Linked DNA regions of Macaca fascicularis. The protein of the gene in region 2 interacts with the protein of the main gene of each other region in a biochemical or structural test. Links are inferred from orthologs where the notes say so. Each region holds a gene or a part of one and is shown on either strand. Other genes may lie near its edges.

Evidence for each region. The genes of interacting proteins can lie anywhere in the genome.
Region 1: the proteins of ERBB3 (region 2) and NCK2 form a complex in vitro, tested with the Homo sapiens proteins (2 studies listed by BioGRID and IntAct, with this or other methods). The link is inferred for Macaca fascicularis from reciprocal best matches to the Homo sapiens genes ERBB3 and NCK2.
Region 3: the proteins of ERBB3 (region 2) and SH2B3 form a complex in vitro, tested with the Homo sapiens proteins (2 studies listed by BioGRID and IntAct, with this or other methods). The link is inferred for Macaca fascicularis from reciprocal best matches to the Homo sapiens genes ERBB3 and SH2B3.
Region 4: the proteins of ERBB3 (region 2) and NRG1 form a complex in vitro, tested with the Homo sapiens proteins (8 studies listed by BioGRID and IntAct, with this or other methods). The link is inferred for Macaca fascicularis from reciprocal best matches to the Homo sapiens genes ERBB3 and NRG1.

The regions. Positions count from the first base shown.
Region 1 is NC_088387.1:10,312,433-10,316,016, reverse strand, and holds part of NCK2 (cytoplasmic protein NCK2), read right to left. Parts: coding exon 3,266-3,584; intron 1-3,265. UniProt on the Homo sapiens protein: Adapter protein which associates with tyrosine-phosphorylated growth factor receptors or their cellular substrates. Maintains low levels of EIF2S1 phosphorylation by promoting its dephosphorylation by PP1.
Region 2 is NC_088385.1:62,865,190-62,869,278, reverse strand, and holds the start of ERBB3 (receptor tyrosine-protein kinase erbB-3), read right to left. Parts: upstream 2,836-4,089; 5' UTR 2,735-2,835; coding exon 2,647-2,734; intron 2,228-2,646; exon of another isoform or gene 2,167-2,227; intron 1,966-2,166; exon of another isoform or gene 1,805-1,965; coding exon of another isoform or gene 1,723-1,804; intron 1-1,722. UniProt on the Homo sapiens protein: Tyrosine-protein kinase that plays an essential role as cell surface receptor for neuregulins.
Region 3 is NC_088385.1:118,305,354-118,308,937, reverse strand, and holds part of SH2B3 (SH2B adapter protein 3), read right to left. Parts: intron 776-3,584; 5' UTR 749-775; coding exon 8-748; intron 1-7. UniProt on the Homo sapiens protein: Links T-cell receptor activation signal to phospholipase C-gamma-1, GRB2 and phosphatidylinositol 3-kinase.
Region 4 is NC_088382.1:36,007,302-36,010,326, forward strand, and holds the end of NRG1 (pro-neuregulin-1, membrane-bound isoform), read left to right. Parts: intron 1-1,227; coding exon of another isoform or gene 1,228-1,348; exon of another isoform or gene 1,349-1,369; intron 1,370-1,757; coding exon 1,758-2,412; 3' UTR 2,413-2,479; downstream 2,480-3,025. UniProt on the Homo sapiens protein: Direct ligand for ERBB3 and ERBB4 tyrosine kinase receptors. Concomitantly recruits ERBB1 and ERBB2 coreceptors, resulting in ligand-stimulated tyrosine phosphorylation and activation of the ERBB receptors.

The sequences.
Region 1 (3,584 bases), on a different chromosome or scaffold from region 2:
AGTATCTAATATTATTGCAGGACACAATAAATACATGACCTCTTCGGTATCTAAAATCTTACAGAGGAAAATGGCTTCCCAGACTTGTGGCTGATGCTGTCCAGCAAGTCACCCAGGCCAGCTGTGCACCTTTTCCAACCATATCCTAGTTGTGATCTGTCACTTTCTGAACAACTTTTACAAGGATGGGGGATGCAGCAATTAATAAAATACTGACAACTTGTACAGTTTACCAGAAACCCAGTAAAGGGTTACTGTTCATTTTAAGTACAGCTTTCTAGCCACATCCATAGCATCAATGTGGACAAAATATAAAAGGATTTATGAGGGACACACACCGGGTGAGTAGGATTTCTGAGTTTTCTGGATTTAAGCAGGTATAGCTCACAGCTGAAGGTATGATAATGAAATATGGAGAATAAGCACCAACAATATATCACCTTTAGCTGCTAAGGATAAACGACAATTGTAGATGAGAGAGGAGAGCGAGGGAGGAAGAAGAAAGGGAAGAACAAGCAGTAGGCACTGACGTTCAGGACAGGAAAGAGGGCCCAACAGGTTCGTTCATTTGTTAGTTCACTGATTCATCTAACATATCCAACAGATACTTCTGAAATACCCAGCACTTACTGATAGTGGATAGTGCAGGATGTGGCAATGTTTGTCCTCCCTGAAATAAGCACCTCTCAATGTCATCAAGCAAGGGTCTAGCTCATTTACACTGCAGTCACTCAGGGTATTTTAAAAACTGAAACGCATGTTGAAGATCCATTCCAGAAGAAACAGCTGTGCTTATCCAGAAGCCAGGCTTCATGTGGTAACCTCAACGAAAGGTCCAGGCCCAAAGATTCCAAGAAAAAAGGAAATTAAATGAAGATGCCTGCCTCTGAGTCCTGCAGGGAGGCTGAACCCCTCAGAAACCTTTCCGTCCCGGCATGCTGTGAAGGAATTATGTCAGACCGTGAACCTAAGGGCTCTTGGTGGCCTGGTGGTGGCTGTGAAAGCCAGCTCTAACCTGAGAAATGGCAAAATGAGCAGGGAAACACATGGGGATGGGGGGAGGCAGCGGATGGTGGGGAAAAAAAACAAGCAAAGGACTTGTCCACTTGTCCACCAGGACAGGTCCCCGGCAGTCACAGATGACAGCTGAGAACAGCCTTGGTCATGAACAGGAAACGCAGCAAACCTGGCCCGGTTCTGCGGTCAGGAGAAAAGAAGCCACACACCTCAGGGCTCTTGTAGAATCCCCGTGGCACAAGGCATGCACACTAACCGCTGAAAATGGCCTGTGTCACGGCAAGATCCATCAGGACAAGCTGCCCTGCACAGCATCAGGCCACGTGGAGCCTCAGACCAAGACGGTGCTGCTATGTGTGCAGAGCCGATGCAAGTGCCAGTAAAGCCCTTTCCACCCTATATTCCTGGAATCATACATGTTGCTCCTTGACTTTCTAAGTTAGGAGAGAATGCAAAACATCTTGAAAGGCCCCCAATTAAAAAATTGTTAAAAGGAAATACAAACAATTAGTGCTTTAGTACTTTTGAAAAAGTGAGCTCATTCTCTAACAATGCAAGGCAACTGAGACAGTGGGGTGTAGAGTTCTGAGATGAAACCCAGCCAATGCATGCATCCCTCCTTATCCAAAGGGATCCGGTCCCTGAATTCAGACAACAATGACCACCTGTGCATGTTCCACAGAAAAGCCATAGGTCCTCCCTAAGGCCAGCAACCCTGGAGAACACCTTTTTCATCTACTCTCTAAAGTCTTTCTTCATCTCCCCAAATCTTAGGCAGAAAGAAGAACGACTGGGAGCAATGTCTCCACACTGCAGGCCTTCCTTCTGAGAAGTCTCTTCAAACTCAAACATTTTAAGCCAAGATCATATTTTGTGCATTATACTTAGCCCTTAAGGACTCTGGACCAAGCACTTAATATTGTAATTGGTTTTCCAGCAGTTTCTCTAAGTTTCTGCTCGATTGAGTTAAAAGCGCTGCTGTCCTTAATTTGCTTAAGGCTTCAAACCCGATCTAAAGGAAATGGTGCACAGAGCTCTCGTCATGTGAGAACAATTCAATGTGATGTCTTGCCAGGAATGATAAACTCTGGTGACTTGATAAGAAAATCTCAGAGTTCAGATTTCAGATGAAGTTAGCTTTCAGGCTGGCATTCCCGTCCAAGCACATCTAAGGCTCCGCAAAACTGATGACACCACAAAGGAGTCCAGTTTCCACCACCACGATGCTCCTTCCTCAAAGAGGAGAAGATCCCACTTGCCTCTCTCTGGAGGGCTTTGAATGCCTCTCTGATCAGTCAACAGGACTCCTGAATGTGCACTTATTTATTGTGCCAGTAACCTTTTCAGAGGACAGCAGGGGCAGCAGGTAGTACATACTTACTAGTCTTACAGTGTGCATTTAAAAATGAAATTGAAGCCTACTAGAACCAATACAATTCAAATACATCAAACTCCTAAATGCTTGTTTTGGAAGTCTCTCGATTGTAGAAGGTGTATTTGTAAAGACGTTTGCAAAACTGGTCGAATATTTCCTTCACACACGAAAAGGCTGCCTTCTGGGATGCAGGCTCCACCCCCACGTCTGAAACTCACTGCCCCCAGCCTGCCCACCCCTGGAAGTGGGTCTGCTGCCCCAGTCCAGTGGCTTCATATCTCCCACTCACTGCACACACACAAAACTCATCTCTCTCAAGAACCCTTGTTTTCTTTACAATTCATCTCGTAAGTGCTTTAAAAGCTTTTCAGAGATGAACTCAGTGGCGCTGCCTGCCGTGGCAATGACCTTGGGATTATACGGTTTACAAAGAGAAAGCAAGCAAACAACAAAAGGCGGTGTCAGAAACCCGCCACCAGTCTTGCAAAGATTGCTTTCTCTGGGAAACAGACCGAGTGGAAACAAAGTAAATCACTGGGGCCTTCTACGTACACACAATGGGCAACCAGGAGAGAAAATGACGTTTGAGTCTGTAAAATACAAGAGGGGCAATCTTCGGAGAGAAGCAGAACCACCTTTGTCAGCTACAAACATTTTTTCAGTTAACCTCCCATCTCCAGAAATGGACACCCACGATCCCCAAAACAGATGCAAGGAAATCACGGAGTAGCAAACATTACACTAAATTGCATTCATCTGCATCTCTCGCCTTTCTAGTGTACTCACACAATGTGAAATGGGCGCGGCACACAGAGCCACTGTGCAAGGCGCATTTACTGCCTCCAGCCAGAGCTGCGGGCGCAGCGCACTTACCGAGGACTCGCTGTCCCTAATGAGGAAGTCGCCCTCCACGCCCCGCTCGTTGAGGGCACACTCGGCCTGGTGCCGCGTCACGTTCCCGTAGTACCACTCTCTGCCCGCGAAGCGCCCGCTGGACGAGGGCCCGGTGTAGCTTATCTGTGGGGCGTGTGCAGGGTGCAGGGCAGGCCCGTCACTGAGGACCACCACGTAGTTTTTGGGGACGAGGCCCACCTGGCCCCGGGCATTTTTGCATTTCCACCACTCGGGGTCGTTCTCGGGCTTCTCGATCACCTCCATGGTCTCCCCCTTCTCGAAGTTGAGCTCCTCCTCG
Region 2 (4,089 bases):
TGTTTGTGCAGACTTTGTGTCTGTGCTTGGAAGGCTACAGTGTTAGAGGTAGCCCAGTTCCCTGCTCCCCTGAGGGTAAAGTCCATATTACACAAACAGGGGGCAAAGGGCCTGGGCAGGAAGGGAGCACAAACAACACGTCTGGGGAGGAGCTAGGCAGCTTGGGGAGCAGGGCAGGGGAAGGGAATCATAAAAATCCCTCCTGTACCCAGGGACCGGGAGCATAAGGAGGGGCAGTGGCACAGGCACTCCTTTGGTAGAGAGCACTAGGGGTGGGATAGAGCCAGAATCTCCAGCCCCTCCTCAACCAGAAGCCTCCCCTCCAACATCCCCCACCCCCATCACAGCCAGGACAAAGGGGCTATAGAAGGACTGAGACAGGGCCGGATGCCCAGAGGCTGCAGGACCCAGATAAAGGGTAAAGAGACCCAACCATGCCTGCCTCCTGCCTACCCAGGGAGGGTGGCCAGACTCTGGTACTCCTGGGTTTCTGGGTGAAGATTGCGGGAGTCTGGATGGGACAGTTATACAGTCACCCCACTGCTCCCTCCCACGCCAGTCCCCAGACCACCCCCCTCCACCAGCTGGGAGTGTTCACATCTAAAAATCCCAGGATCTAAATTTAGGCCCAGCAACTGTGGGGGAAGCACAGGTGGTTTCTTCCACTCCCACACTGGGGAAGGGGCCCTGGCTGTGCCAAATCCCAAGCTGAAATCTGGGGGGAGGGGAGGAGATCCACAGAACTTCAAACCTCAGGTGTCCACGGCCCCAGAGACACCCCAAAGGGGTGGGCTCAGATAGCATGGGAGTCGGGGGAGGACTGGAGAAGAGCAATCCAGGGCTCTGTCTAGGGTCCTCAGACAATAAGCAAAATGGGGGCAGGGGGCACAAGATGGGCCCAGGTAGGACTCCCCAAGGCAGGAGGCTTAGAAAGTAGTAGAGGTGCCCTCTTGATCCTCCGGTTGGGGAGAGAAAAGACAAGAGGCTGGACAATCCTTGCCCCTACAGTTCCTGGCCTAGCGCCTTGTATATAGTAGATGCTCAATAAATATGAGTTGGGTTGACCTGGATCTTGACAAAGAGATGTTGCTCAAGCTCTGCTATTCTGAGGAAAGCGGACGCCAGCCTCTGTTGGGCCTCCCGCCTGATGTCACCTGAACTTGGCCCTCTGGTTAATCTCAGACCTCCCCAGGGCAGGCTCACTCACGGAAGAGGAGGTGCCGCTCCTGTTTTTCCAACACTAGAGAACAACAACCCCCTCCAACCTTCCGTAGCTCCGCCCTGTCGGCAAAACAACGAAACTAGGAGTAGCAGAAATCGGTGCGGGGTGGCGGGCAGGAAGCTGGCGAGCAAACCGAGACCCTTCCGCCAAGGCCCCCACCTCCAAGCACCTCCTGTTTATAGAATTAAGGTCCCTGCCCCGCTCCCTGCAGGGTCCCTCAGAAGTGTGAACTACTGTTGCGGCCTCAGCCTCTTTTGGGGAGACCAATTAGAGGGTCGACGACGCTCTGGGGAAGGGGGCGTGAGGGTCCAAGAATGCCGCCCTCGGCCGGACCACGCCGATAACCCGAGCCTGATCGCCCCACTCCCAGGTGGTCCGGCGTACGGGGGCAGCACCCACACCCCCGCGCCGCCTGAGACCCTGCCCATGCCCTCAGAGGCTTCGCGCACTGGGTTCCGGCTCCCAGGTGCCGAGCCCGCCAGTGCTCTCGCGCCACTTACCTGCCTGAGAGTTGCCCACCTCGGAGCCCCGGGCCAGGTTGAAAAGCAAGCCCAGCACCTGCAGAGCGCCGTTCGCCCTCATGACTCCGCGGAGGGTGAAGGGAGCCCAGCCGAGTCCGGCCCGGGGGCCCCTAGACTAGGACATCCAGGCAAGAGCCACCTGAACCGCAGGCGAATTGGTGGCTGCTGCGGCGCAGCGGAGGTTGCAAACTGCAATCGGAGCCGGAGCCGGAGCCGGAGTCCGGGGCAGGATGGCAGGGGAGGGGTGTGTGTGTGTGTGAGAGAGAGGGAGGGAGGAACGCAGAGGGAAGGGGGTGAGTCACGGCCGCGCCCCCTCCCGCGCGAGGCTGGAGTAGGGATTGCGGAGCCTCGGACTGCCCGCCCCGAGCGCGCCACGCCCCGCGGTCCCGCAACTTGGCGGAGCAGATCGAAGATGGGGCTCACCCTAATTTTTCTGCAGGAGCTGGGCCAAGGGGAGGTCAAGATTCCAAAAGCCCCCAGATCCAGGGAAGGGTAATGAATGAGGGAGTGGTAAGCGCTCCAAAGCCCAGCCTCCTGAAATTTGGCCTCGCCCATTAACCAAATCACTCAACTCCCCTAGCCGGTTGGTTCACTTGGTGGATTTTCTCTCAGAATGTGAATATTTCTCTCTGTGTGTTTTTGAGGGGGAGGGTGTTTTTTGCCTCACGTCCAGGCCACCTCAGTTTCTCCCAGACTCGAAACCCCATAACTCATCCACCCAGCCCAGGAACCCGAGCCAAAGAGGCCGCGTGAAATTGCACTGTCTCCGGCCGCTTCCTCCTCCAGACCCGGCGCCGGCCGGGCCTCTCCCGGGATTTGGATGGGGGGCGGGGGTGGTTTCCAGCCTGCGAACAGACCCCGGAGCCCGCCTTTCCACTTCTACCCCGGGAGGGGCTCCCGCACCTGTCGCCGTCCCCTCTGCTGCCCCCCACGGCCGCCTGGGAGAACAGCTGCCTCCCCTTCCACTCTGGAGTCTGGCCGCACCGTCCATGCGGCCGCAGTTCCCGCCGCTCTTCTGGGGACCCAGATGGGCACACACCAAGGCGCTCACACCCTCCCCGGTGCCTTCCAAGTCCAGGCTCGCGCAGGAAAGGGGTGGGGCGGTGAAGCGGGATGCGGAGAGGACACTAGAGACTGCGTCCACCAATGGCGTGGACCTCTGGAACCTCCAGCACCAGCTGCCCGGACTGGCCCAAAGCCCTGCTAGTCCCGGGACGGATCCGACCGGCGCCGCCTGGTGCCCAGCCTGTGGCAGTGGAGTCCCAGACGGCCTTGCATTTCAAATCCCTTAAACTGGTATTGGGGATCTCGCCCAGAGTGCCTAGTTATTTTCCCCAGAACTTCAAGCCTGAAGACTTCGAAAACAGTTGAGTCTTGATAAACAAAAATTTCACCCCTCAGGCCTAGCAAAGACTACCGGCTAACATTCCTTAAACAGGCTCTGTATTGATATGCAACCTAGAGGGCCTGTTCTCTGTTGGAGAACCTTTGCTTTGGGGAGGTTGGCTTTCTCCAGACCACGTGTATAGCAGTCATAATAATAATGGCAACAACAAAACCATTAACATATACAGTATCTCCATATATCATTTCATTTACAAAGTATGTCCTCAAACTTAGCGCCTTAGAGAATGTGTCACTTAACATAAAAATTATATGATTTAGGCAATATAACTCTCCATTTTACAGAACTTGAAATGTGTGACATTACCAAGGTCATCCACCTGGTGACAGTGGTTGAGGTGATCAGGTGACTGAGAAGTGGGGCTCAGACTTTTACCTAGAATTTCTTTCTCTTTTTTTCTCCCTTTTTTTTTTTTTTTTTTTTTTTTTTGAGACGGAGTTTTGTTCTTGTTGCCCAGGCTGGAGTGCAATGGCTTGATCTCGGCTCACTGCAACCTCTGCCTCTTGGGTTCAAGCGATTCTCCTGCCTCAGCCTCCCAAGTAGCTGAGATTACAGGTGCCTGCCACAACACCCGATTAATTTTTGTATTTTTAGTAGAGATGAGGTTTCACTGTGTTGACCAGGCTGGTCTGGAACTCCTGACCTCAGGAGATCCACCCACCTTGGCCTCCCAAAGTGCTGGGATTACAGGTGTAAGCCACCACACCTGGCCTTACCGCCTGGCCTTACCTAGGATTTCTTTATTATTTTTGTATGATGTAGAGATGGGGGCGGGTGGGTCTGGCTATGTTGCCCAAGCTGGTCTTGAACTCCTGGCCTCTGGCCTCTGCAATCCTTCCACCTCAGTTTACCCAAATTGTTGGGGTTTCAGGTGTGAAGCACCCTGCCTGGCCTTCCCTAGGATTTCTTACTGTTCTACTGAGACTGGAGCTTCATGTGTT
Region 3 (3,584 bases), about 55 Mb from region 2:
TACTTACCTTGGGTGGGTCGAAGAGCTCCAGCACGCGGTCGGGGCCATCTGGGCCATCGGAGCCCGGCGCCCGGCGCAGCGCCAGCCTACCACGCTGCCAGCGCGCCCCGCTGTCCATGGAGGCCTCGTCGGCCAGGCTGTAGCGCAGCGCCGCCTCCTTCAGCGCCTCGGGTGGCGGCTCCCGAGCCAGGCTCCAGGGCAGGAGCTTCTTGGCCAGGCCGGGCCGGGCGGGGGTCTCAGCAGCCTCTCCGGGGGTCCCGACGGCGGCAGCGGTGTGGGCCGCTGGCAGCTCCCCGGCCGAGCGGCGGCGGAAGATGTGGCGGAGGCTGCGGCGAAAGTGCTGGAAGGAGCAGGGCCCGGGCGGCCGCGGCGGGGCCAGTTCCTCAGAGCTGCGGGCCTTGGGCAGGCCAGGGGCGGCGAGGCCGGGGCCTGGCTCCGGGGACGCCTCAGCCTTGGCAGGGGGCCCACGGCCTGTGTCCCGGTAGTCGCGGCCCGGCGCGCGGCCGTCGCGCACCTCCCGGCAGAAGTAGCGCTGGAAGAGGTCGGTGAACTGCAGCGACACCAGCTCCGCACGCAGCGGCGCGTGCTGCGGATGCTCGCGAGCGAACAGCCAGTACTGGCGGGCCAGCTCCCGGGCCGCCGCCACGGCGTGCAACTCACAGAACTCGCTCCAGCCCCGCGGGGCCGGCGCCGGGGAGGCCGAGGGCGGGGAGGAGGCCGAGGAGGGCTGCAGGGCAGGCCCGTTCATGGTGGAGACCCAGGTGGTGCGGCGGGGCTGAAAGACATGTGGGTGGGGGGGCGACAAGGAGTGAGCAGGTGGGCAAGCAGGTGACGGCCCGTCACACACCGCGAACCACAGCAGAAATCCGACACGACCATAACACCCAGTGCTGGTGAAGATGCAGGGAAACACACACTCTCCTACCAAGTGGCATTCTGTAAGGGGCATGGCCAACTTGGCAGAATTGATTCTAGACTCTGGAATCCTGCTTTTGAAGGACAAAAACCGTATTATCATTTCAATAGATGCAGGGAGAGTATGTGACAAAATTCAACATAACTTTATTATAAAAACTTTCAACAAATTAAGCATAGATGATATGTTGTACTTAACACACTGACCCTATATAAAGGCTGAGCTCGGAGGCTCACGCCTGTAATCCCACCACTTTGGGAGGCTGAGGCAGGAGATCGCTTGAGCCCAGTTTGAGACCAGCCTGGGCAACATGGCAAAAGCCCATCTCTCCAAAAAGACAAACACAAAAATGAGTTGGCATTGTAGCACTCGCACCTGTAGTCCTAACTACTTGGGAGCCTGAGGAAGTCAGGGCTGCAGTAAGCCATGATCAGCCATTGAACTCCAGCCCAGGCAACAGAATGATACCCTGTCTCAAAAAACAAATAAATAAATAAAATAAAGACCCTACATGATAAGCACACAGCTAACACTGCACTTAATGGTGAAAAGTTGACAACTTTTCCTTTAAGGCCAGGGATGAGAAAAGGATGCCCACTCTGGTCACTTCTATTTAACACAGTACTGACAGTCCTAGCCAGAGCAATTAGGCTCTAGGAATCCCACTTTTAAGTATTCAAGAGAAATACTTGCTCCCTGCTACATATTTCCTGCTGCAACATTTATAATGGGGAAAAACTCTAAGAGACAACCTAAATGCCCCCAGTTGGAGACTGATGAAAGAATCTGGCCCATCTATAGGCTGGAAGACTCTGCAGCAGGGGGAAAGGGTGAGGAAGACCCACCCCCCCCACCTCTGGGAGAGCTCCAGGGCAGGGCTATTCACTAAGTGAAAAAGCAAACAGCAGAACAAGACACGCTAGCCGATCCCATTTACATGAACATACATAAAACCAAACTACTAATGTTTATGTGTACACAAACATTTTGTAAATGGTGGGCAAGAAAGGTCTGGCAGAAACAAACCCATCCTGAAACAGTGAGTATTTCTGGGGAGGAATCAGAACTGGGGTGTGGGGATGGTAGGGATGGCGGGGAAGAAACCAAGAAGCTTGCTACTACTTATCTCTAGCAAGGATGGCTAAGAACACAGATTCTGGAATGTGGATTCAAATCCCAGCACCAGCCAGACGCGGTGGCTCATGCCTGTAATCTCAGCACTTTGGGAGGCCCAGGTGGGTGGATTACTTGAGTTCAGGAGGTAGAGACCAGCCCGGCCAACATGGTGAAACCCCATCTCTACTGAAAATAAAAAAAATTAGCTGGCTGTGGTGGCGCATACCTGTAGTCCCGCTACTCAGGAGGCTGGGGCAGGAGAAATGCTTGAATCCAGGAGGTGGAGGTTGCAGTGAGCTGAGATGGTGCCACTGCACTCCAGCCTGGGTTACAGAGCAAGACCTTGTCTCGAAAAAAAAAAAAAAGCCCAGCAACCACTACTTATTGGTTATGGGACCTTAAGTGACTTATGTGACTACTACTCTGCCTCAGTTTCCCCATCTGTAAGAGGGGAACCATGATCATGCCTACTTCATAGGCATATTATGAGCATGAATTGATAGACATAAAGCCCTAGAACATAGAAAATGCTTAAGAAAGACTGTCTGCTATTATTGTTATTTCCATGTTGCAATGAGAGTATATTATTGGTGTCTATAAAATAAATATAAAACGGGCCAGGCGCAGCAGCTCATACCTGTAATCCCAGCACTCTGGGAGGCTGAAGTGGGCAGATCACCTGAGGTCAGGAGTTCGAAACCAGCCTGGCCAACATGGTGAAACCTTGTCTCTACTAAACATACAAAAATTAGCTGGGTGTGGTGGTGCGTGCCTGTAATCCCAGCTACTTGGGAGGCTGAGGCAGGAGAATCACTTGAACCTGGTAGGCAGAGGTTGCAGTGAGCTGAGATCATGCCACTGCATTCCAGCCTGGATGACAGAGCAAGCCTCTGTCCTGGGGAAAAAAAAAAAATCACACACCAAAAACAAAAACAAAAATAAATATAAAACAAAAAATAAAAGGGAATAAATTAACAAAAGTCACAAGGGGTCCAGAGGGATTTCCTGCACTGACAGGGGACCCTCAGGACTGGCAGACCTTTGCCTGCCCATCTCAACTGGGGCATCCTTCTCCTCCCGTGGCCAGAGGGCCTTTCCTTAGACACAACATCACCAGAATGGCACTGAGATCCCCCACTCCTCTGCTGTCTGCGGTACAGAACAGCTGGGACCTCTGTGGGCACCATCCTTCCTTCTTCATGACCCTGGTTGGGCCTGGGCCCCTGCTGGCGACCACATGTCCACGTCTGTTCTTCAAGATGGAGAAGAAAAGCTCTCCCTACTCGGGCACAAAACGGGGCCCCAGATCCCTGATATTAGCACACCCTGAATGAACAGCGGTGCCACTCCAATGACTCTCTCCCTGGGCAGGGGTAGTGGCTGCACAATAGCCAGAGCCACAGGGGCCTGGGTACAATTACCGCCTCCAACCATGCCCTCCTTCATCCTCCCTTCAGGTGTTACTGAGGGCCTACTGTGTGCCAGACACCAAGCTAGGCCCCGGGATACCATGGTGAACAGCACATACGAACACTGCTCTCCCAGGGCTCAC
Region 4 (3,025 bases), on a different chromosome or scaffold from region 2:
TGGCGCTACTGTACTTCAGCCTAGGCAACAAAGCAAGAAAAATAAAACAACAACAAAAACAAACAAACAAAAATTTTGGGCTTGCAGGCCTATTGGTTACTTCTTCAAGGGCCTTTCCCCAAAAATGATATTTTAGAACGTTATGGAATTTATGAAATCAGAGGTTTCCCTGCAACTAATCTATGAAAGGCAGGGTTTAAACTGTTTTAAAACTTTAGTCTTAAATTCATATAATTTTTTTTATGTATTAAGGAAGTCTATCCATTCTATTTCAGTCTATTTTTGAAACATGAAAAGGAAGTTAGAGATGAAATCATTCCTCATCACTACAAGTGATATTTATCTTTAAATGTTGACATCTCCCTGCTGTGCTTGGCTTCCAGATAATACCTAGGACTACAAAATATTCCTTTAACCTAGAGATTATGGAGAGAAAAGATGAATCACTTTTATATGTTGGTTGAATTTGAATTAGCATTTCTCAGAGAGCTTAATTTAAGTACCCCCAAAGCCAAAAGTCTGAAGACTCAAGGCCCACGTATTTCAATTTCTCAGGCACGTTCCCGGTTTAGAGGCAGTTAGTTCTCATATCTGTATCACTGCAAATCATGGAGAAGCAGCGAGGTTCATGGGTTTTCTGTTCCTGTTAGCGAGAGTTCAGATGATGGCACTCCGTGTCATCTCAGGTCATGTCAAATTAGACTCTGTGAATGCCAGTGTGAAGAAAAGAGTCATTTAGTCTTGTGTGCTGGTAGCATTTTTTATCAAAAGCTGAGAAATGTGACTCTGAATAAGCCACGTCTTCCTCAGTGCCAAAAGTCAGGACTTCTTATATTGGGGGAAGAAAGCATGGTATGGTGAAAACAGTGTGCTTGGTGGCCTGATGGCAAGAGTCACTGAGCATTATCAGACATAACATGATAGAAGGTAACATGGTACAGCCAACCCTTGAGGCATCATGAAAGAGATTAACCAAAGACTGATATAGTTGTGGGTTTTGGAAGAGAGATAGACCAAAGATTGGACATAACCTCATTGTGGTAACTGTGAAGCCAACATTAGGCTCTCTCAGGCTTACCTTTGACTGTGTTTGTTGGACACTGGGATGGATAGTTCCAAATTGAATGTTAACTAGTTGCATTTCATGGAAAATATGAAAAGCACACAAATGTATGACACTGTTGTCAGGAATAAATCTAAGTTACTATGCTCTTTTTTTTTCATAAGACATAACCTTATAGCTGAGCTAAGGAGAAACAAGGCACACAGATCCAAATGCATGCAGATCCAGCTATCAGCAACTCATCTTAGATCTTCTTCCATTCCCCATTTGGGCTTCATTCTCTAAGACCCCTTGGCCTTTAGGAAGGTATAGTATTTAAGTAATACTTCTTTCCCTTCCGAATCCCTGAGCCTTGGTCCTTATATAAGCTGAGAGGTTTCCAGGACCTAATGCCTTCTTATCTTGGCTCATATGCCTTTATTTATAATTGTGATGAGATTGAAAATCCCAAAAGCTTTGATGAGCTAGGCAATTTAGCTGATCTTTGCATGCACTCCTGTGAGGAAACTCTTGGCTACCTAATTTTCGATTCCAAGGGTGTGGAATGTCCTAGCGTAAATAATTGAGCAGTCTACAATGAATAGAAATTCTCTGTTCTCTGATGATATACTATTGTGAACTCTGTCCCCTTACCTTCCCTGCTATGTGCCTCTTATTGCACCACACTTATGCAGGGTATTCTGTGCTCACACAGGTATGTGTCAGCCATGACCACCCCGGCTCGTATGTCACCTGTAGATTTCCACACGCCAAGCTCCCCCAAATCACCCCCTTCGGAAATGTCTCCACCCGTGTCCAGCATGACGGTGTCCATGCCTTCCATGGCGGTCAGCCCCTTCGTGGAAGAAGAGAGACCTCTACTTCTCGTGACACCACCAAGGCTGCGGGAGAAGAAGTTTGACCATCACCCTCAGCAGTTCAGCTCCTTCCATCACAACCCCGCGCATGACAGTAACAGCCTCCCCCCTAGCCCCTTGAGGATAGTGGAGGATGAGGAGTATGAAACGACCCAGGAGTACGAGCCAGCCCAAGAGCCTGTTAAGAAACTCGCCAATAGCCGGCGGGCCAAAAGAACCAAGCCCAATGGCCACATTGCTAACAGATTGGAAGTGGACGGCAACACAAGCTCCCAGAGCAGTAACTCAGAGAGCGAAACAGAAGATGAAAGAGTAGGTGAAGATACACCTTTCCTGGGCATACAGAACCCCCTGGCAGCCAGTCTTGAGGCAACACCTGCCTTCCGCCTGGCTGACAGCAGGACTAACCCAGCAGGCCGCTTCTCGACACAGGAAGAAATCCAGGCCAGGCTGTCTAGTGTAATTGCTAACCAAGACCCTATTGCTGTATAAAACCTAAATAAACACATAGATTCACCTGTAAAACTTTATTTTATATAATAAAGTATTCCACCTTAAATTAAACAATTTATTTTATTTTAGCAGTTCTGCAAATAGAAAACAGGAAAAAAAAACTTTTATAAATTAAATATATGTATGTAAAAAATGTGTTATGTGCCATATGTAGCAATTTTTTACAGTATTTCAAAACGAGAAAGATATCAATGGTGCCTTTATGTTATGTTATGTCGAGAGCAAGTTTTGTACAGTTACAGTGATTGCTTTTCCACAGTATTTCAGCAAAACCTCTCATAGATTCAGTTTTTGCTGGCTTCTTGTGCATTGCATTATGATGTTGACTGGATGTATGATTTGCAAGACTTGCAACTGTCCCTCTGTTTGCTTGTAGTAGCACCCGATCAGTATGTCTTGGGCACATCCATCCAGATACGCCTCACTTGTGTATGAAGTTTTCTTTGCTTTCAGAATATGAAATGAGTTGTGTCTACTCTGCCAGCCAAAGGTTTGCCTCATTGGGCTCTGAGATAATAGTAGATCCAACAGCATGCTACTATTAAATACAGCAAGAAACCGCATTAAGTAATGTTAAATATTAGGAAGAAAG